Linked DNA regions of Arabidopsis thaliana. The protein of the gene in region 2 interacts with the protein of the main gene of each other region in a pairwise test. Each region holds a gene or a part of one and is shown on either strand. Other genes may lie near its edges.

Evidence for each region.
Region 1: the proteins of AT1G50740 (region 2) and AT5G37610 interact in a protein complementation assay, tested with the Arabidopsis thaliana proteins (one large-scale study listed by BioGRID).
Region 3: the proteins of AT1G50740 (region 2) and UCC2 interact in a protein complementation assay, tested with the Arabidopsis thaliana proteins (one large-scale study listed by BioGRID).

The regions. Positions count from the first base shown.
Region 1 is NC_003076.8:14,933,646-14,941,041, forward strand, and holds AT5G37610 (Eukaryotic porin family protein), read left to right. Parts: upstream 1-4,386; 5' UTR 4,387-4,475; coding exon 4,476-4,967; downstream 4,968-7,396. Other genes in the region: GSR 1 (uncharacterized protein), read right to left, coding at 1-81, 179-338, 419-510, 587-790, 873-1,067, 1,147-1,195, 1,298-1,401, 1,490-1,529 and 1 more.
Region 2 is NC_003070.9:18,803,350-18,811,413, forward strand, and holds AT1G50740 (Transmembrane proteins 14C), read left to right. Parts: upstream 1-4,322; 5' UTR 4,323-4,511; coding exon 4,512-4,710; intron 4,711-5,177; coding exon 5,178-5,265; intron 5,266-5,343; coding exon 5,344-5,416; 3' UTR 5,417-5,686; downstream 5,687-8,064. Other genes in the region: AT1G50745 (plant mobile domain protein), read right to left, coding at 5,835-6,916, 6,988-7,138; AT1G50750 (aminotransferase-like, mobile domain protein), read right to left, coding at 7,254-7,734, 7,932-8,064. UniProt on the Arabidopsis thaliana protein: May be involved in free fatty acids export.
Region 3 is NC_003071.7:18,458,289-18,466,539, forward strand, and holds UCC2 (uclacyanin 2), read right to left. Parts: upstream 5,246-8,251; 5' UTR 4,945-5,245; coding exon 4,773-4,944; intron 4,331-4,772; coding exon 3,894-4,330; 3' UTR 3,575-3,893; downstream 1-3,574. Other genes in the region: AT2G44770 (ELMO/CED-12 family protein), read left to right, coding at 139-207, 396-511, 594-648, 833-953, 1,137-1,184, 1,303-1,397, 1,497-1,598. UniProt on the Arabidopsis thaliana protein: Probably acts as an electron carrier involved in oxygen activation and/or lignin formation.

The DNA.
Region 1 (7,396 bases), on a different chromosome or scaffold from region 2:
CCTCCTGTCCTCAAAGTATCCTTTCCCTTCTTTCTCCGTATCACGTCCTACTCGGATCGATGCTCCACGGTTCGCAACACCCTACATACAACATTCCAACACACAAAAGAATCACAAAATGTATCGTAATTCGGCTTTTTTACTATTCGAAAACCCGCAAAGATGTTTGTTAGTATACCCAAAGGAAAGTGTTGATGTCAGCAGTCTCGTGGTGTCCTGTGAGACGACGCTCATTGCCTTCACCGTAAGCAGCAATGTGTTCTTTGTGTCTCAGTCCCAATTTATCGATTGCTTTCTTGATGATCTCGTAACCGCCTTCTTCCCTCATTGACTTGGTACTGAAACAATTACCATTTTGGTTTTATGAATCAGCGAAAAGACCATAAAAGAAAACATTTAAGAGATTCTTGACATGTACCTGTAGTTGCAGTGAGCACCAGCACCGTTCCAGTCACCGGGAATCGGTTTCGGGTCAAAAGATACCACTACACCAGCAATCTCTGTGATCCTCTGTTTTAAGAACAAGCTAAGTGTTACTAATCAAAAACTACATAAACAAACATTGAAGTTATAACGTTAAACTTACCTCCAAAATGTAACGAGCGACCCAAATTTCATCAGCAGCCGAGATACCAACAGCTGGACCGACCTGGAACTCCCACTGACCCGGCATGACTTCTCCATTGATGCCACTAATGTTGATCCCAGCGTATAAGCAGGCCTTGTAGTGAGAATCAACAACATCTCTGCCAAAAGATTTGTCTGCTCCAATACCGCAATAGTACGGTCCCTGCAATACATTTTCGCCTAAAATTTTAGAATAACCGACAACGGAAAAGATACAAAACCGATTATATATCCATCTTCTTCACCTGAGGGCCGGGATAACCACCAATAGGCCAACCAACAGGCCACTTCACATCTTTCTGGAGTAAAGTGTATTCTTGCTCAATACCATACCATGGCACTTCAGCTGCAACATCAGGGTTGCTAAAGACCTTAGCCGCAGCGTGTCTTTTGTTAGTCGGGATTGGTTCACCCGCGGGAGTGTACGCATCGCACATGACCTGATCAAAACCATTAAGTTAAGATGGATGTAATAAAGCATGGCTGCAACAAAAAAGGTCAAAACTAAAAGAAACTCACAAGAATGTTGTTTCCTCTACGGAAAGGATCCTTGAATATGGCTTGAGGGCTAAACAAAGATGTACAAAACACAAAAGATTAGTAAACAAGAATCGAAAAAAAAACCAATGAGAAGAATCTGATTTAAGATCAAGAAAGAAAGATTATTAACTATAAGATGACTTCACTGTCTTCACCAGGAGCTTGGCCTGTGCTTGAACCATCATAGTTCCACTTTGGTAGCTGCGAAGGGTCAGTCACTGGTCCAGGTAGAGTCTACATATATAAACCAGAATTACTACCAAAAATAGAGATAGACAAAAGTTGACCTTTTCACAAGATTATCTAGAGAATGAAAAATTACCCTGGCTTTGCTTCTCATGTCCATTCCAGAACCACCAACCCTGATTTGGTATTAAAAGAACACCAACAAGAGACAAAATATTTCAGAAAATTCAATCGTTATGTTTAAAAACAGAGCCAAAAACAGAGCCAGAACAGAGCCAAAAAACAGAGCAAACATCATCAGGGGATAAAAAGTTTTGCAGTATTGGCAGATTCAGGAGCCTAATAGATTTATCAGCAAATTAAACATAGATCTGAAGAATAAACAAAACCAAATTGGCTCTAGAGGACTAAGAACAACCAAAGGCAGACACAAAACCAAAACTATAATCCATACAATCCCAAAAAGTAAAACAGAGTCAAAAGTTGAAAAAACAACACGAACCCATTAGATTTAGGTTTGATACGAGAACATATACACAAACAAAAAACGATTTTTATGAAAGAAACAAAAGAAGAAGACGAACCATATGTATTCAGCAATGATTTTGTCAGTGGAGTCTGAGAGGTTAAGGTTGATGAGATCTGAAACAAGACTCATGGCTACAAATACCAAGGGTTTGGATGATAGTAACAGTAATAAAAATGGAATCAAATCTGTCTCGTGTTTTGATATTTTGGTAGAGAGAGATATGAAGAGTAGTACTTATAGAAGGAGGAGGGGTGGGTGCAGAGATTGAGGAAGAGGGTGACGTGAAGACTTTGGAGACTTTTTGGCTCTCCACAAGGAAAGAAACAAAAAATACAACTAAATATCAGGAATAAAATTATAAAGATTCTTTCGCGGCCCAATGGAATCTCATATTTTTCAGGAATATTAAAGTTTACATATATAGACACACCAGGTTACAATTTTGTATGAGGTCATTGGAATAAAAAGAGAAAGAAATGTAATTATTTAAGGTAAAAATCTCTTTCTGTAAATGCTAAAATAAAATTTGGGAAAAATATTAATATTCTTAATACTACATTTTCTGTGTTATTGATTTTTAAATTATTAATTTTAATTGATACAAACATAATATGATATAACAATATATTTTTTTTTAATATGTGTAAAAAAAATCTTAAATGATATATAAAACAAAACGGACAAGTATAATTGATATATTATTTTATTTGTGCAAAATATATCAATAGATTTAGTATAATAATGTTTTAAACGGTGATTAGGTGGAACCATAATTAAACACTCTAATCATCTTGAAATTAGTATTTGTTTTCTAATGCAACTTACTTAGATTATTATTTTTAAACGAAATTCGCTTACTTAAATTTAGTATTAGATCGAAACCATTTGTCTCACATCTCCGGTTTCTCTCCAATCATTTTATGGGGTTTAAGGTCATTAATCATAAACAAGAATCAAAATAAATCTTTCCTTGAGGAATTTTGTGAAAATATCACGGTGTCATATCAATATCACAAGGTCATTGTTTTGTCTATCGAATCTTCGATCATCTTGAATCTATTCTGGTTTTTTTCCACAATGACTTTTCAACACAAAATATTGTTCTTACTTGACAAGAAAACGAGTACCAAAGAAACCGGAGATACTCTAAATTCTTAGCCATACAAACCCAAGTAAACTATCTAAAACCAAAGATTTTTGTTTTTGTTTTTTTGGTTTATATTCAACTTTATTAAAGATAATGAAACTCAAATATATATTCCGATTAGATAGTTGAGTTGACTTTGTTTTGGGAGCATGTAAGAGGACGTTTATGACGGGCATCGGTTGACTCGGCCCACAACCGTAAGAGTTGAAGTCTAAAATTGTTGACTTTTTTTTTAATTTTCTAAAAATATAATTATTTTTGACAGTTAAAAGTTAATTTCAAATCATATTTAATTATTTATTGAACACACATCTAATATATTCTTTGCAATTATATGATAACTTTTCATTTGAACAAAATTTGTAGTATCAATTCAACGTAGCTCCAATTAGATGACTACAAAGTCTGACATGTGGGATTTGTAAGCTTATAGTTTTAGAGAAGTCATAATGTCTTTCGATAATGTCTTTCGATAGAAGGTTCAAGCCAAAGACATCGATTGATTCGACAAAATTATCAAGATATATCTATCTTCTTATATAAATTCAAGATTCCGGTTAAACGTCTCAAAAGAGTTCTAATCATAAACAAGAAATTCAAAAAACTCTTCGGCTCAGAGGAGAGTGACCAAGAATTTTATCTTCTCCAGGAAGTCATTATTGATACGAATTTTTCTTTGAAACCGAAGTTCCTAAGAGTCAGATATAATTCTCTCATCTCAGTCTCCATTCTAAATTTTGAGGGAGACTGAAAGGGGATTAAGATGAGAGAATTAGGGTTCGGAGATTGAGAGAGAATTAAGATGATTCAGATATTTTCTTTCTAAAAGGAGAGAGGAACCAAAAGAAAAAAAATGTAGCGTGGATTAAGAGTTTAATTGAATATATTTTCTTCTAAATTGTAAATAGGATCTCCAAAACGGAAATGATACGAAAATTTTAGAACTTCTATATAATTTTTTTTTTATATCTTCTCTATGTCTCACTAATTTAGAAAATATAATAAAATCGTTTGATTTTAGTTAACTATGCTTTGGGAAAGATGTAATTTATTAAATATTTAAGAGAATAAACCAGAAAACAATTAACTACTTTTTAAACGATGGATATATAAATCAGAAATTAAAAATAGAGAACCCAAAGTAATAACATAATTTAATTTTTAATTTTTAATTTATATTGGATTAATATATATTCTAAATATTTGTGGTATTATATATTTATTTATATTATTTTTTTGTGCACCCAATTTTATTTATATTTATATTATATTTTTGTAGTAGACATCCCTAGAGAGTAAGCACAAGTTGGACATCTTTAGAGAGTAAGCAATATTATATTTATATTGATGTTGGGTTCTAATGACATCTAGAGTTTGCTTACCTCCTTGATTCTTTGCAATGTGTCCCTGTCCAATCGAAATGACTACAACCATGCTCAGTTGAACATGTTATCCGAACGGGCCAGAATCAGTACAATTGTGGGGTTGTTTGCAAATCCAATTCTCAGTTTTTCTGCTGTATTCGGAAATGACTTTTGGCGATTTGGATTTGAGTTAACTTTGGATCTTGTGAACCGGATAATCACTAAGGCAAACACAGTTCTTAGTTTGATCACCGAGGACACAACAACCACCTTTTCCATTGATAAGAAAGCAAGCTTATTCACTGCTTCTTACTACCAGCGCTTGCACTCTAAAACAGTGTGTGGTGCTGAGGCGAAGTACATATTATCTGACAAGAGCAACTCTTTCTCCATTGGGAAGAGACATTTATTTGGTGATGACGATTTGATCCAAGCTTTATTGAGTGTGAGCAATGGTGGTTCTATGAGAGTTCTTTTTCAACATCATTGGACTTTGAAATCATTTTTCACCATAGCTGGAGAAAGATTGTTGAACCATTCAAGTCAACGATTTGGTTTAGCAGTTGAACTATGAATAGTGATCACTTTTAAACCCTTTTTTTGTGTAATTCTGGTTACAAATTTATGATGAAATATGTTTTAAGTTTTTGTTTAAGATTAGGTGAATAATCTATTTCTGTTTTATTTAAGATTTTTTTATTAAAAAAAAATATGAAATGGAATCGACGAAACTAAATTGGATACGTACACGGGACCTATGAATAATGACAGTGTTAATACTTGTACCTTCAGAATTGTCCGATAACAATTATTGCATTCACAACTTGCATAAGGTGACATATCGACAAAAAAGTACATTCATTTTCAACTCTCTGCATTGCATATGTCATGTTTCTTAGACGATCGATTCAATCATTTTGTAAATAAATAATAATTATTGCATAGAAAGATTACAGTAGCTAGGGTGATTTAAGATCATATGCCATGTGTGTTTCAAATTAAGTTTATGACAAAATAACATGTTTTTGATCATTATAATGACATATATATTTCATTATTTTGAAATTCTTATTGAAATGTATTTTTTCATTATTCTACAGCATAATCTACCAAAGCTATATTGAATTTTCGCCCACTAGACCAAATTTTATAGATTCAAACTAGTAGACTTTTCCGAAATATTTGACTTAAGTTGCTTTAGATAAACGTTTTGCGGTAGTTAACTAATGATATATGTAGGCTAATGATTTGATTTATTTCTCACTAATATTCGATATCCACATAATGTATATTATTAGACAAAATTATATTTCTTGAAACAAATATATATTCTTAAATCAAAGAAATATCGTATAATTTTATTAATCAGCTAAGATCAAAAACAAATTAATTAATTGGTGAGCAGATCAACGACGTGCAAGAAAACTATCAAATAATAATAGTACGGAGTGTCTCTAAAAATATTCCTAAGGTGGGCCAACTGATTGTTACACATTTTAATTAAATGTTGGTGATAATGTAATGATGATGTATATTATTGTATCATGTGCTTAAGCTTACTATACCAATCTTTATACTATTAGATTAACAGAATTTCAATCATTAAAACAAAATCTTGAAAACAGATATGTGAAAATCTCACAATAAAAGTCAAATAATTGTTGTTCAGTTTCTGATGTGAGATCATAGGTCCACTCTTGCAAATCAAGCAGCGCCATTTATGCCTGCACGCATACTAAATTAATAAGTTGTGATAATCAGACGCAAAAAAGGAAAAAGAAGATGAAAAAACAGAAAGGTTCATCAACATACTAGTTGTTTACTTGGTTGTTTAACCAATTTGGAAGTATTGCCACTAATTGACTCATACCAAGTTTCTTGAGCAGATTATTTGGTTAGACTAAATGGGCATCAGTAACTAAATAATGTAGCCCATATGGATCATTAATGGGCTTGTAAGTTTTTTTTTTTTAATGTATTATTTACATTTTTGTCGTCTTATTACATTATTACTAGAAATATTTAATCTTTGTATTATTTTGAAAAACTTTTATCACAAGAAAAAATAAAAGGTTGATGATGAAGTATTAGAGAACATTATGTGTTGATGATCTGGTTAACTATGTGATAGGTTTGGCCCGGATGCTTTGTAGTTTGTTAACAAAATTTCCTAAATTAAATAATATCAGTTACCCGTTTCTTGTTGGGTCTGAGACTGGGCTGGGCTAGAATGTGTTTGTCTATTTCAATTATATTCTTATTTTTGCTTTTTTTTTTCTTTAACACCAAATCAAATATATTAGATTATAAGAGTGTTACATGATATATAATACATGAGACCATTCAAATACAACCATTGAATAAAATAAAGGAAATTGTACACAATTTCGATGAAAAGGTGGAAGTGACACTGCTTTCCAAACGGAAGCCTTACAAGCAACAGATGAAATCTGTTAAGTCCCCTCGTCATATACTCGTAAAAGGCTAACATCTTATAGATGAAACTCCCAAATGCTTTCTGCATCACTTTGATTAAACGAACACACAAATATGTTGCTTGAAATGGATCTCGAACATGTCTTATTTTGACGATGGGTAGAGTGTTATTTTTGCTTTATAATCAAATTATCTACAACAAAATTTATACATCCCAATGATTATACACAAACAACTATGTATGTGTACTTGCTGCTTCTTTCAAACCTACCTATTTTCATATACTTTCATTTGTTGTAAGATTGGTCCTGGCCACCCAATTAACCAATTTATAGTTATAAAACCTAATACTTTTTTTTTTTAAAATGTATTTTTTGTTTTTGACATCAAAATAAATGTATTTATACCTAAACCATAAAGAATTTTAATGGCAAAAATATCAAAAAAATCATGAAATTTTAAATTTGGGATGATTTAATCTTGAACTTCACGGAAGACAAATAAATCGTAAAGTTTTTTTTTTACTTTCGAAATAAATGACAAAGTTTGTGTTGACTTGTCATTTGA
Region 2 (8,064 bases):
ATTTCTTTCTCTTGCTTTTACTACAGAAACCAACATAATCGAACTAAGAAGAAAAAGCATATAGCATCTTTTGTTTCTGAATATTTTCTCAAATTAAATTAAAATATCAAGTGCAAATAATATGAAAAAAGCAACATAAATATTGAAATGAAAATAATAATAATAATAAGAACTTTTTGCCTACTACTACATACATAGTAGCAAACTCATCCTTGTTATTTAGGCTTCTTAAGGACACAAACACCACCCTTGCATGAACCTTTCTTTGAAGATGGCTTCATGAAACAACTGAAAAGCTTCTTGAAGAAACCCATCTCTCTTGAAATTTGAAGACAATATTAAGGCTAATGGACTTTCTAAGGATCTTTGCGTTACATGCACCTCTATTTGACTAGATCCTATACCCACATATATATAATCATTAATTACTTGCTAATAAAGTTTCAAGATTATGAAATCATGAAGATATGGTTATAAAAGGATCCGGAAGAATGTTAATATATTAACTTAGGAAGTTTACCATTATTTCAAAATGTATAATTTACTTAAGTCTTGAGATGTGGTTATTGTATATATTTTCATTGTTACTAAATAAGAAATTTAACTATTTAGTAACAAGAAAATGTACACAAATATTAATTACTTTCCTAATAACAACTAAAAATATGTACTAAATAGACGACTTAGAAATATGTAACTTTCCTAGAAATCAAAAGGAGTTTCTTATGAGTCATTTCTTAGTTACAAGATATATATTCTTGTAACATGTGATGGTGATGAGAATGCATGTTATTCAATTTAAAGTGTTATATAAAGTGTTAACATTCACATAATGACATTAAAGTATAAGAGATAACTACTTTTTTTTTGGGATAGAATAGTTAATATTCGGGTGAGGGTGTATAATATAGTTTTCACGAAATCATGGGATCTAAAAGTGGGAGCAGTTGATTGAAGTTCTAGATGTTGAAAATTGAGTCCATGATTAAATCTTGTAATATCATATATCCTTTGAAGAAAAAGAATATATCACATCCACATATTTGGTTAGTAATAGATTACTCTGTAGATTTATTCCTTTTAGATACCAATGATCTCTTCTTTTTATGTAAACCATCAATATCTGCTGAATAATGAAATACGCATATCTATAGAAGATATTTTTACTAGTAGTATATATCATAACTAGATTATAATTCGCCGCAGAAACAATTTTTTTTTAAAATTAGTATATATAAAAGTCTGCAAATTATATTTATCTATAAAATATTTACATTTTCTAGTTTACAATTGTTATTAAGTAACATTCTTCCAAACCCGTTCCGCCAAACCCGTCCCGTTAAAAAACTCCGCGGTATACCGCTAATTTAAATAAATATTTTATAGGATTGTAATTATATTTTAGTTTATCAAACAAATTTTTGTTTTAAATAGTTGTCGAAATCTAATTCAAATATTGGAGAAATAAGATTTAGTGAACTGATAGTAAATGTATTTAGGTGCGTTTTGGTCATTTTAAGGGATTGCAATTGTATTTTGGCTTGTCAAATATTTTTTGTTTTAAATAGTTTCCAAAATCTAGTTTAAATTTTGGAGAAATTTGCGTGATATATGAGATTAGAATATATTTGGAATATTTTTTGTTTGTTAATCAATTTATTGCCAAAAGAAAACCAATAATTAAAAGCCAATGGCAGGCATTGTAAATAAGTTCGAACTCCAAAATTTATTTCATAAAATGGCTGCAAAAATGTATATATAAATATCAGTTTGTGGAATATTTTAGAAAGAATCATACGATGTAAAATTTTTGAATTTTTCCTAAATGTAAACTTTCGAATTTTCTCTAGTATATTTTAATGAAAAATGTAAACTTACCAAATGTTGCTGAAGTATTTACAAATAAAAAATTCTCTAGTATATTTTTAATGAAAAATGTAAACTTACCAAATGTTGCTGATGTATTTACAAAAATGTAAAGTTAGTGTTGACAATACATGTATATAAATATAATCAGTACACGAGAAAAAAAGAAGAAGAAGAAGAAAAAAAAAACTTAAGAAGAAAGATTAGAGATTGGTGGTGTGGTGAACATGAAGATGGACACGTATCATTTGACAGGATACATCTGCTTGGTGTTGGGCGTCCTCATCTTCACTCTTGCGTCGTGCTTGTATGGTCCTTATCTACGTCGCAAGTTATGCCCATGTTGTGAACCTAGTGATGACACTAATGCATAACTATTATTTCTTCCGTTTTATATTAGTTGTAGTTTAAAGATTTTTACTTTTTTTCAAAATAAGTGTTGTTTTCAATTTTTTATACAATTAATAAATATATTTAATACTTTTTAATCAATTATACTTAATCATATTTTTTTATTGGTTAAATTAGTTATAATAAATAATATTTTTATATAAAAGAAGTAGATTAAATTGAAATTTTTATAATTTCTTAATATGTGTGTAAAAACCTTAAACTACAACTAATATAAAACAGAGAGAATATTATTTTGCTACTTTCAAGTTTTAACTATGTTTCTGTTACTTTTTTTTTAATTACCTATAAAATAGCAGAACAATATTTTTTGCTTCAAAATATTGTAACTCTATTCTATTTCTACGTATTGCATTGATATTTATACGATAATACAATTTTCTTTTCAAATAGTTTGTTTATTGAAGCTGTCATTTTCTTTGGCTTTGTTTTACTTTTTCTTCGAGTTCAATATTCCATCTCACCGTTTTGTTTCTTATATATTACATGTACTACATTTTGCTCAATATTTTGATGGTATCACATCCAAGTTTTGCAAAACATGTCGTCAAATTAGAAACTTATCAAAACAAATGCAACCCCATTAATATCATTTGTATGCAAATCCTTATTTTCTCTAAAAATCTCTAGAAAACCAATCAGATCCCTATGCCTAATATTTTCAACATGTTTTGCAATATCTAAAATTTTAAAATAAGAAAATTATTGATTATAAATTATGAGAATTATTACATTTTTACATAGACGATTCTACCGACTTCTAATGGTTATCTTAACGCGTATAATTACATTAAAAAAAAGAGAGTTGTAGGGTAATTAATTAAAAAATTAAGAAATTAGAGTAATCTGGGAATTGGATAGATTTCGTGCTAGGTAATTATTTATTTTTATTTTTTTTTAAATAATAATTTTAATAAAATTCGATCCAAATGGGCTTGGGCTTAAAGTCTACAACGCAAGTGACCCAGTTACAAAAAGGGAAATCGGAAAAAAGTTCACCGGAAAAGAAAAGCGGCTCGACTCTTGTTGATCACCGTTCGCAGAGTGACCAAATCTTAGATCTGGCAAAATCAAGACTCACAACTTTGCGACCCCATCAGAAGATTGAAACAACCGGTGAAAGATTTCAGTTTCCGACCAACCATCTCTTTCTCCCGATGCACCAACCCGCCACAAGTCTCCCAGAAAATTAGTCACCCCGACGAAGCGGTTCGACGGTGAGAAATCCCGACCTAGCAACCCCTCACACTTATAGATATCCTCGCTCTCCTTTACCGGAAACCCCTGAAATTCCAGAACCGCCGTGACTCGATCCGGACAGTCGGCTCACTCGAGACGGCAAATCTAGAAGCTGGTGGCTCACTCATAACTACTAAATCCGACCCCCGTCTCAGCCATTGAAGACCTAGATCTTCCGCTACCCACCTGTCAAATCAACACCAAACCCACCTTATCCCCTTCAACTTCCGCCGTAGATGCAGCTACCAGGTCGACGACTGAGCCTAAGGAGAATCAAAGCAACTCCCAACGTCCACAACCGGGAGACCACCGCTTCAATGCTCCTCCTCCGCCAATCTAGGGCCACAACCACATTAGCGGGGAAACACCACACCCTTGTTGACGGAGAGGCACGACGACTCACTCCTGGATCACTTGCGAGAAGACTTTGTCGACGTTAAGAGCAGAACGGAACAGAAAATTCTAGATCTAAAAACCAGAAATCGCCTACAAGCGAGAGAGAAATACACGGTTTACGAGGCAACAATTGGGCCCGATTTTCTCAGTTTGCTAGGTAATTAATTATATGAAGTTGTGATTGATTTCGTCTCTGATAAGTAAGTTGATAAAATTTTGGCTTAACGTTATCGCTTGTTGCATGATGTTAGTATGGAAGTTAGTAGTGATGATTTTTTTGACGAAAAAATTACTATGTAATATGTAATGATAAATATGTAATGTGTTATTAAATTTAAAGTGTTAATAAGGCCATTACATTAATCAATTATTCGGGGTATATTAGTAATTTTGACGAAATCATGAGATCTAAAAGTGGGAGCAGTTGATTGACGTTCTAGAGACCGTTGACGAAGAAACGCCGAAGCTGACTTCTTCTTCCACGCGTTCTCCAAATCCAAATGCACACTCGTATAAATTGATCGGAGACGATCTCTATCAAATCAATCTGAGATAACAAAAAAAAAACCCAGATTCCATTAACCCAGCTCGAGAATATAATGCACGATTTCTGCTTCACTATCCCGTACGGGATCCTTCTGATCGTCGGAGGATTTATCGGGTATCTGAAGAAAGGAAGTATTGCATCTCTCGCCGGAGGAGCAGGCACTGGATTGCTTGTCGTTCTCGCTGGTTTCATCAGCCTTAAAGCTTTCGAGAAGAAGAAGACATCGTTACTCGCTACTCTTCTCGAAACAGGTTTTTTTTTTTTTATCTCTCGTGATTGGCTTAGATCGAATTTTTGTTTGGATTCATTGGTCTGGGATTAGATTTTGGTGATAGGTGCCACTGGAATTCGAGTTCTTATTTGCATTTTATTCCGAAAAGGGATGACTTTCAAGCTTCAATATAGAAAAATTACCAAATTTAGACCCAAGTTAGGTGAATTCAGAACAAATTGATTGGCTTCTTTGTTGGAATCAAGAATTTGTTTTTACATGGTAGGCTCTAGCGTAAGAGTTAGATAAGCTATGCTTAATTGATGTATTGTGATCTCATAAATGAAAACTGATTCACATTTTAAATGTGGATTGTGGTTATTGTTACCATTCACTGAAAACAGAACCAAACCCAAAAACAAAACACTTACAAGGCCTCACAGTTTATCTTCTGTTTAAGTGATTATTAGTGACTGAATACTCATTTGAAAATGTCTTGTTATACAGTCATTGCAGCTGCTCTCACATTTGTCATGGGACAACGGTTCTTGCAGACTCAGAAGATTATGCCAGCTGCTTTGGTAGCTGGAATCAGGTATTTATCTTTTTTTTTTTTTGTATCTAAAGATTTAGACTTTCAAGGGCTCTCATGAACATTTTGTCTGTATTGCAGTGCTCTCATGACTTGTTTCTACGTATACAAGATCGCAACTGGCGGCAACCACATACCACCGAAAGCTGAATGATTAGTGTTATACACTCCGGTTGTCGATGAAGCTCCTCCACTGTTGAAATAAGGTATATGGATTTTAGATTTACAAATCAGGATAGTGTAGATAATACTGATTACGCTCTATAAGGGAGTTTAGTTATCTTGGTCCCTAGGTGAACATGGTTTTCCTGTAAGAATCTCTTTCATAAATCTAATTTGTATTTTCTTATGATCGAATCAGGCTGTTCCATTTACTAAGAAGCTATTAGCTCATAACTGTGTTCAAAAGATAACAATTAAAATATAAAACACTTAAAAGCAAACCAGTTCTCAAAAGATACTAAGCAGCAATATAAAAAGATACTTAACCTAGAGATCACAAAGGTGAGATTGATCTTTGATATTCTACTTGCATTTGACTGCTCCCTTCTTTTATCTGCTCAAAACAATACCTAGATCCAACGAGCTGCTTCAATTTTTCTCTGTCTCATGGCACTCCTTTCTTTCAAAGATGCCAGATTTCTCTGTGCCATAGTAATATGCTCTTTTAACGACAATGCCAGCACCTTCAGCTCTTCCAATCTCTTTTCGTATGAGTCATTAGCAGCATCACCCTCACCAAAATCATTCTTTCTCTTTTCTAAATCCTCTAACTGCTCATTGGATTTCGAAGTTTCATCACTTCCGAGGCCATTATCTTGAAGCCCACAATCCTGTCCTTGGCTTCCTTCCCCTACAGCGATTTGAATGTTTGACTCATCAGTTGGGCTCAGAACCACACTCTTGCATGCTCTGCTTGTTTCATCTCTATTAGTTCCTCTGGTAGCATGCTGTTGATGAGGGACTGGTTCAATGTTGTTCATTGTGTCATCATCAGCAACAACATCTTCCTTCTCAGCTTCACTACTGCACAACTTCTCATCTGAGCTCGGCTCCTCTACTGCAATGATACCATCTTCGTGGAGCAAACACTTTGGTTGCTTGCTGCCATCATCAAACATATCTGCATTACTTTCATTTACATCAAGCTCATCATCACAGGCTTGCCTTGTCTCTGGTGGTGACACAACAATGTCAACTACTCCTCTGTCAGCACAAAAAGGAGGTTCTGAAGAGTTGTTTTCATCAAATGGGCTCTCATCCATATTCGTCCCTGCTCTGCTTCCAGCTTCATCGGTCTCTCCATTCCTATGCGCAATTTCTGATGGTGGTACAATTTCATCTCTTATTGAAGCAAGCTTTTGAAAAGTCCCCAAATCATTGTTATCTGCCTCAACTCTACTTATCTTACCAAGCGGTTCAGAAGCATCTCTTCCACTATTCCGTACATCACTATACTTCTTCTTATTAAGTCTCAGAAATTGAGCAATGGAGAGGTTATCATCTTCATCATTATTGTCTGAATGAACATGTGTATGACATTGACCCATATGACTCTCATTGTTCTCACGAACTCGTTTCATGTACTTGCGTCTCTTGTCGAAATCCTCAGCTATCTTCATTCCATCTTTGCTTGTTCTGTTCACCTTAGAGCCTGAAAGAACAAAACTAGTATCACACCTATGATGTTTCTTGATTTCAATGTTTCACCTGACTCATTGTTACCGTTTTTTCGAGCTTGCTTTATGTACTGGAGTCTTTTTTCACGAGCTTGCTTCATGTATTTGAGTCTTTTGTCACGAGCTTGCTTATTGTAATTGCGTCTCTTGTTTGAATCGTCAGTTATATTCATTTCATCCTTTCTTGTTCTGTTCATCTTAGAGCCTGCAGCAACAAAATTAGTATCATCACCTATGATGTTTCCTTATTTCAATATTTCAGTTGATTCATTGTTACAGTTTTCACTAGCTTTCTTCATGTACTTGCGTCTCTTATTCTTGCTTTATGTTCTTGCGTCTTGTGTTTGTCGAATCCTGAGCATGAATTTTCATATTATCCTTGCCTTTCTTGTTCATCTTGGAGCCAGAAGGAACAAAACTAGTATCAGCCCCTAGGCTTTTTCTGTCTCTAGCTTTCAATGTTTCAGCTGATTCATTAGCATCCTTATCCTTAGAAGAAGTCTGGAATTCTGGAAACGACCTCCTCCACCATTCGCAGAACGTTGGAGTAACACGAGGTATTGCAGAACGTGAAGGAATGAATAATGCTAAATCGTTAATAGGCTTATTGTAATCATTCCAAGCTGCCTCCTGTGAGAGGTTGTTCTGGTTAACAGCACAAGGAACATCTTGAAGCATCCCAAACTGTGAAGCCACTCGATTGGGAAAGTAATGCTCCACATTGTCAATTCCAACAAGCTGAGACACCTTAATGCATCGAGCAAAGGAGACAAATTCAACATCAAGATTGGGACTAGCAGGAATCCACACCGCTTTCTCGGGGTAAAACTTAGGAAACTCTCACTCTTTCTCAGTTTTTGTGTAGGGACGCCACTCAAAACTGTCGATTTTCAAGCTATCCAGAATCTGTCTCGCATCGCTGGTTCTCTGTAAGAGGCCATGCCAAAGAGCCAATCTTGGCTCACCTTTCAGCAATGGATTGGGTTTTACTGTAGTTCCTTGAACCTCTCCCATGTCCAAACTTGAAGCAACTTAAACAGGGCAGTGAGATCAATTCTAGCCGTACTCGTCGATTCACTGAAAGCTGTGATGTGTTTTTTTAAGAGACTTAGCTCAGCATATA
Region 3 (8,251 bases), on a different chromosome or scaffold from region 2:
TCCACTGTTCGAGTTGGAAGTTTACATTTATTGTTCCCTACATTATAAATAACGTGTTTGTCCTCTTTAGATTAGCTGCCTTACTTCTAAGTGTATCCAGGTACCTAATTACTAATACCCTATTGTTGGAATTTGCAGGAGGAATGCTTGCAGAGTTTGCAGAACCGCATTGACGTAGCTTATGATAGCACAATACCCTTGCATCAGGTACACTTTTCTTGAGGGGTTTTAAGCTTTCAGAATTTCTCATAAACAAAATTGGACTTGAACCATCATTTGAAGATGGTAGAATATTGTATCTTTTCGTCCCGTGGCCTTTTTACTGTAAGCTAGCATCATAAATTCAAATGTACCAGCTTTGATGATTACTTTGTTACTTCGTCATATGCTCTTAGGAAGCTCTAAGGGAGCTGTGGAAACTTTCCTTTCCTGAAGAAGAGCTTCATGGATTAATATCTGAGCAGTGGAAAGAGATGGGTTGGCAGGGCAAAGATCCGTCAACAGATTTTAGGTATAACACGGACTTTCCTTATCATTTATGTTACAGGTATTTCTTGCATATGTTCTCTGACTTACAGTGCATCATCTGGCAGGGGTGGTGGTTTCATATCTCTTGAAAACTTGCTGTACTTTGCCAGGAACTTTCAGGTATACCTATACACTACATATACAAACATTTCATGAAAAGAATGAGCTGATTTTCCTTTATAAATTTCACTTTCCATGCATCATAAATTATCGATCAATCAGTTATTCATGAATTCACCTCTTATAGATCTTGCTGATCCACTTATGTCACTTAGTTTAAACGGCACATGTCTATATGCTGCAGAAATCCTTCCAGGACCTTCTGAGGAAACAGGTTGGGGATCGGTCTGTGTGGGAATACCCCTTTGCTGTCGCTGGTATCAACTTAACATTCATGCTCATCCAAATGCTTGACCTTGAAGCAGGTATACAGCCACATGAATTTACTTACCTACCATGATTCATGATTGTGATAGTTGCTATTGACATCTGGAGTCATAGGATTGGGAAGCACATAACTACTATAGAATCTTCTTGCATGCATTAGGCAGATGTCTCATATTGTTCATAGTCTGTCATTCTGATGTATATACTTTTAAAATGTACAGTGAAACCGCGAACAATTGTTGGGGCAACTTTTCTGAAATTTCTTTCTGGTAATCTCTCACACAATGCTGTGGTCTTATCATAATGAAAAGCCTTTTTCCACACATGGTGCTTCAATTAGATGTGGACACTGATTTAGATAAATGTATTGGGTATTTGTGTAAGCAGAGAACGAATCTGCATTTGACCTTCTTTATTGCATTGCATTCAAGCTAATGGATCAGCAATGGCTTTCAATGCGTGCCTCATACATGGAGTTTAACGTAAGTAATAGTCGTTACAAAGCATTGACATTAGTTTGGTCATTTACATACATACATGCGATGCTGATGCTTTGTCTTGGAATATATTGGATGACATAGACGGTGATGAAATCAACAAGGAGACAGCTGGAGAGAGAGCTGATGCTGGAAGACATAATGCATCTTGAGGACTTACCCTCCTACGCTCTTCTCAATCAATAGCCCTTATGATGATATTAAATAGTAAGAAGAGTTTCTAACCTCAGGATAACACAAGGTTGCTCTACTCTCTCTCTCTCTTCACTTTTCATCTTCAACGCTTTCGGTTCTACCTCTTCGTTGACCTTTTCTTGTGTTTGGTGGTTCTAAGAAACAACTTCAACACCGAGTTGTTACTTGTTATATTAAAACAAGAAAAAGAGTGTGAGAGAGACGGGGAGAGGTTGGGATAAATCTCAATTTGGTTGCAAGGAGTGTGTAGCTAAAATGGAATTGTTTTCTAACAACGTTCAGGTTTTTTAGTTACTGTGTGGGTGATTGATCTTATTGTGTGGGGATAATAATCATTTGGTGATGTCCACAAGTTCAAAAGCAGTCTCTGTTAAAGACTCTACACGAGGTTAAAACTTCATTTGTTTGTGTATTAAAAAAAAGAAGTTACTTTGATTGTTTATAGCTGTGAAAATTCTGCGTGAATAATAGAGACGGCCTTCACAAGCAGTCACGAGTTATTCTACAGCAACAAAATAATTATTAGATCTACAAAGCCCTACTACAATCAACACGCTTATACTATAGTCTAGATTCTTACACTCTGGCTAATTGTTAATTTGATGTATCAGAAAACTGATTAGCGCTCTCACTAATCTGTTATTAAATTCAGTTAAGCACAATAATCATGTCGAATACGAAGGGCTGATCAGTGGCTCACACATCAATTCACACACACCTTGATAATCCATACATTGCAAGCCAACACCAACGACATCCCGACCACCAGTCCACCACGTAGCTTATTACTATTAGTCCGCTTGATGCATCATTTGATGGCGTAGTTGACCCTGAATCAGCTTCGTGTGTTCCATCAGACGGCTGCGAGTCTGGGGTGGAGGAGAGAAAGGAGAGGCTACGACCGTAATGTCACCAAGACAGTGACCGGGTGTAGGACAGATGAAATAGTTTGGTCCTACTGTCGTCAGATCAACTTTGGTGTCTCCATCGGAATGGTTCTCTGTCGCGGATGAGCCGTCTCCATTCATATGTGGCTTTGTCAACCACATTCACATCCACCGTACTTGAACTCTGTTTCAAAGATTAACATTAGCCACTTACCTAAAACGAAACAGAGTTTTCTTGTACGATAAGTTATAATACCAACCCTGAAAGTCTTTCCCGCAACCCAATCTGTGTAGTCCACGCAATTGGCCCATTGATTAGCCTCTAATTAAGTCATAGAGACTGCAGGCCTGCAGATGGGCCTGGGTCGATAGCAATGAAGCCCATAACAAGGAAAAGACCATTCGTTGCCATCTTGAGGTTTAAACGTGGAGAGCTATTTTAAATTAAAGATGTGAAGAGGAGGAAATAATGGTAACGGTGATGGTTTATATAACAAAGAGGCATGAGAACGACTAATGAGAAATTAAGCTTAATTAAGGGAATGTCTGAAAAGTCCCCTCTTCTTAATTATTTTTGAGTTATGTCCGTAAAGGACACTCCTGATTAGGGTCAAATTCCATTGGCATTGCTCATGTGTTATTGACAAGGTACTCATGGTCATGGGTCAAATAAAAAGTCTTTGACAATACTATTTATAAGAAAATTAGAGAAACTTATCTTCATATTATCATATATAACTTAAGTTCTATCATATCTAAAGGGTAGTTAAGTTTGCGTCAATATAAGGTTTTGACTCTTATGGAGAGATGAGTTCGGTCCAGAATTCTTCAAATATATAACCAATCTAAATAAAAAATATAAGATAAGAGTTTTTAATTTAAAAGCTAGGTACAGCTAATCGAATACTACCTATCCCAAGTTGCATTTGTTTATGTGATCGTTTAAACCATAGCAACAACTAGAGTTTGAACACATTGCTAGAAATCATTTCTTTCAGGAATTGATCATATCTCTTAGTTGTTGTTGTACGTGATTCATTCTTGATAACATACTATATATGTAAAATACGAAGGGATGGTGTGGAAAACAACTGTACATGTGATTCCAAAACCGATAAATTAAAAACGAATATGAAGAAGAGAACAGATGATAATTACGAACGATGGAGTGGTTCCACATGAACGAAAATGAAAATTAATAGTATAATTTATTACAACAAGAGAATAAGTGAATGTGATGATGATGATGATAACGATAATCAAATGCCGAGATAATAAAAATCCTACGAATAATGAAGAGCTTCTGACGTGGCACACAAACCCAAATTCTCTTACAACCAAAAACCAAAATAATTTAAAAAGGCAAAAGCACTGACTCCACCCTGGCTCTCTAAACCAATTACATCCACAAACCATAACCCAAAACCATCGAGACTCCCACCAAAACGTAACTCATCACTCCCTTAGACGCACCACTTGCCTTTGGTGGAGGAGGAGGAGAAGTTGAACCTGCACCAGGTGTGGGTGTGGTGGGTGTGGGTGATCCGCCAGACGGAGGTGATTCCGGTGTGGTAGGAGTTCCCGGAGTTGAAGAAGGTGGCGTGGGAGTGGCCGGAGGTCCGGCAGAACCGGCTACGACATTAACGGCTAGCTTCATGCCGCCATTGGTTCTGCAGTGACCAGGTGTAGAACAGATGAAATAGTTTATTCCTACAGTCTTAAGATCGATTTTGGTGTCTCCATCGGAATGGTTCTCAGTCGAGGAGGAGGCGTCGCAGCCATCATATCCGGCTTTGTCAACCACATCCACCGTGTGGGAAGAACCATACTTGAACTCTGTTTCATATCCCCATAAATAAATAAATTAAAACCTAAGTAAAGAGTTCTCCATACCTAGGAAGATTATAAGACAAGAGTCCCAAATTATCTGGTTACCAAATCTGAGATTTCTTGTAGAATAAGTTATCTCAATTTCAACATGGTAGAAATTTATAAAGAAGTAAAACAAGCAAATCAAAAAATTGTTTCTTCTTCTTTCTTTTTACTGTTTCTAACTTTCTATATTTAAGAACCTGAGACCAAATAAACAAAAAAAAAATCACACATTTTTTTTTTTTTGGTATTACGTACTAAAGCAAACTTAATTTAATTTGAACCACCGAAACCAATATTAAACTACACTTGGGTTAGATTAGGTTACTACACTTTTTGATGTATAGCTTGAATCTATCTGAAAATTATAAAAGTTATAAGTAATGTGGTTCGGATGATGATTTACCTAGAATGTCACCAACCCTGAAAGTCTTTCCGGTAGCCCAACCTGAGTAGTCCACACCAGTGGTCCATTCAATAGTGTAAGTCACAGCTACTGCGCCCGGGACAATGGTCAGAACTAGGAGAAGAGCAGTTGCGGCGGCTACAGCCATCTTGGACAAACCATTCATTGCCATTTTTTGTTTACTGTAGAAGAGAGATATTCTTGTAAAGATTGTGAAGAGAAGAAATGGTTATGGTGTCATTATATAACAAAGAGATGTGAGAAGGACTTTAGGAATTAAGTAAATGGAATGTATGAAAAAGTCGCCGCCTCGCCAACTCATTCAACAACTTCATCCTCACTTTTTATTTTTCGTTTTACTTTTTTATTCATTTCTTTTGTTTTCTAAGACATTGTCATGATGCGTAACAACTCTTTGTTCTTATACATTCAAACTAAAAAAAAAAAGAATGGATAATTAATCGAATAGTTCGATGGCTTTCTTTGCTGTGAATTATATAAACCCATTATCCTTATGAGTGGCTTCTTCCTATTTGGGTTTTTATGTTTTTCTACGTAAAAGTGTGCTGAGAACATGGGTTTGTTAATATCACTATAATATAAGTATGATGCAAATAATGTATAATTGTATAACTATTGCATTACTTAATGAACATGTTATAGATTCTGCAGGTGCCAAGATTCCTTAAATTTGTAGCAAAAGATCAGCTAAAATTTCAATATTTTTCTGAAACGCAGTTATTTTTAATGCCTTTAAAACAGAGTATTTGAAGTGTAGATTTTAAGCTATAAGTTTCCTTGAAGAATTTCAGAAAAAAACAATCTTAAAATTTTACACGGGTGTATCACAACAATTGTTTATGTATTAATACAAATTGTTTTAAAATCTTTTGAGTTCATATAGTATTTTCTCACGCAAAAACAATCTTTATTTCCTATATCGTATTTTATGAAGGTTTTGTGTGGATTGAGTTTGTACGTTTGAACAAGACTTTATCAATAGGACTCCTTAATTTTAAGATTATCTGTTGAATCGCAAAAACTATATGAAAGCGTTAATGTACAAAAATCTCATTATTGTATCAATGGAACTTTGTTTAATTAGCAAGGTGTTGACCATTGACTAAGTTCCTTATTCAAAAGTTTTCAGATTGGAAAAAATCGTCGAAGGCTTTGGGTCAGAAGTCGCACAGAAAAAAAAAAAGATGAACAGAGATATTCGAAATGACATTATATTCAAGCTCTTTTAGAAATTAAAAAATGTAATAAAATTGGGGATTAGGTAATATGATAATAGTAGGAAGATGCCTAACACGTTCTAAGGCCATTCTAATATATATTTTGTCAATGATCAAAGATGGGTACAGATGTTAGGTGAAACAAATCTTTACAATATTAGAAAATATGAATACATACGGAAAGAACAATTTTGATAAGTATTTGATTTATAAAAGTGAAATAGTCAATGATAAAACAAAAACCAAATAGTATAATCACTAAGTATTACCTATCAATTTATTTGACCAAAACAAAACATATTTAGGAGATCGGAAGAAAGAATTTAGAGAGGACTTCTAAAGGCGGTCTTGAGCGTGCCATGTTGATCTTTGATTATCATTATCGTGTCATCCTCATCCATTGGCTAAGAAAGGAAAAAAAAACTAAGAGATTAGGTATTTTTATAAAAATAAAAGCTTATTTTCACTGTCATGATCAAATTTGTTATTGTAATTACAACTACATATAAATTGAACATATTGTTCTGTTTAACCACGTTTGCAAATAATTACTTTTCTAAAGTAATTATTTTGTCCAGATCCATGACATTAGTGTTATTGTTAAGCTATGCACGTCAAATGACAAAATATTCAAATTGACCCTTAAACGGCTTCCTAGTACTGTTCACTACTGTACATGAAATGAAATGATACTTTGGAAAAGAGAAGTAAATAAATATTAACATAGGAAGGAAGGAGCTACATCTCTACTATTTTTATTTTATAAGCTAATCAGAGCATTCCATGTCATACCCCACTCTCACCTCTCGGGCGATTTCACAACCACTCTCACCAAACGCGTGTTGAGCGCGTGTATACGTTTTCTGTGGGTTCTAACCCACCAAATGGCTTGTTTTGAAACACACTCGCCTCTTTCAAAAAAAGCCTCGAGTGTGTGATTTCAGTGTTTTTCTCCTTTAATTCCAATTCAAACCCAACCGAAATCAATTGAATTTTTCAAAACCATGTAAACCGAACCGAAATAAAAACACAAACGACAAACTATTAATTGTCACTTCCACTATTGATCCAACTCCGACGAACCAGATTGATAATTTTGATTCGATTCCACACAGATAACATATAGTCCAAACCAAATGCAATTCACAAGAGAGCCAAATTATTACTCTATGTTCGAAGCTTTTTTAACTTGCCACAAATCAATTTACAAAATAAGAAATTGTGCTCAGAAATTTCAGAAGAATTCTCGATCATAACTTTATGCGGTGGTGGTGGCTGTGAATAGCCGACATAAGTTGCTACGGTGGGTCTCATAAGAAATTGATTGTGCGAATCAGTAGCTTATTGGGCTTTTGTATTAGGCCCATAAAATCGATCGGCCTTGAATAAAAGGAAAATGATTTTTGTTATTAGGCCGAGCTTTTTCCTTGTGCTCTGCTTTTTTGTGTCATGTTTCTTTACTTGCTCTGTTTCGGGTGATCTGTTTTATTTTCTTTGCTAGCTGAACATAATTCTGATTGTTCTCCATTGTATTTTCCTATGTTTATGTGAAAGCAAAGAAACATTGGAAAATCACATTATGTGCTCATTGCTCATACTTCATCAACAGATTGTTTATCTATCGTCTCTTCCGTTTCGATCTCTGCGACTTGTGAGAGCACAAGAGAGAAAAATGGAGAAAAAAAAAAGGAAGAAGATGAGACACCACTCATAGGCTTATTCTGTCTGAAAACATGTAGAAGAAAAACAACACTTCACATTGTCAAGTCCCAACTTCCAAGCCCGTTACAATAAAATTTGGCCCATTAGTTTTCGACCCAAACGGAAAAAGCTGGATTTATCCAGCAGCCGACATGGAAGTGACACTGCTTAATATTGAGATTAGACACAAAAAGAAACACTTGATAGAGTTCTAATTCAAATATGGAACAATTAAAAAAAATTCTCTGTACTACTCTCGGTCTCTAGTCTCCACAATCTCTTACGAAAGAATGATGTCACACTAGTTACTCTCTCCTCCAACGGTAGAGGAACTCTGTAACCTTCGACAAGAGGAAAAACCAACTCATAGACCTTGTTGTAGTACAGATGCATTTTAACATGCATGTTATTTTTCCAATTCTCAACAAGGATTAAAAATTACTTATTTATTCATATGACATATATAAACTAAATGATACAGCATCCTTATTCAGTGCTGGTCCATGAATCTCGACCGATATTCATCCTTCATAAATGACG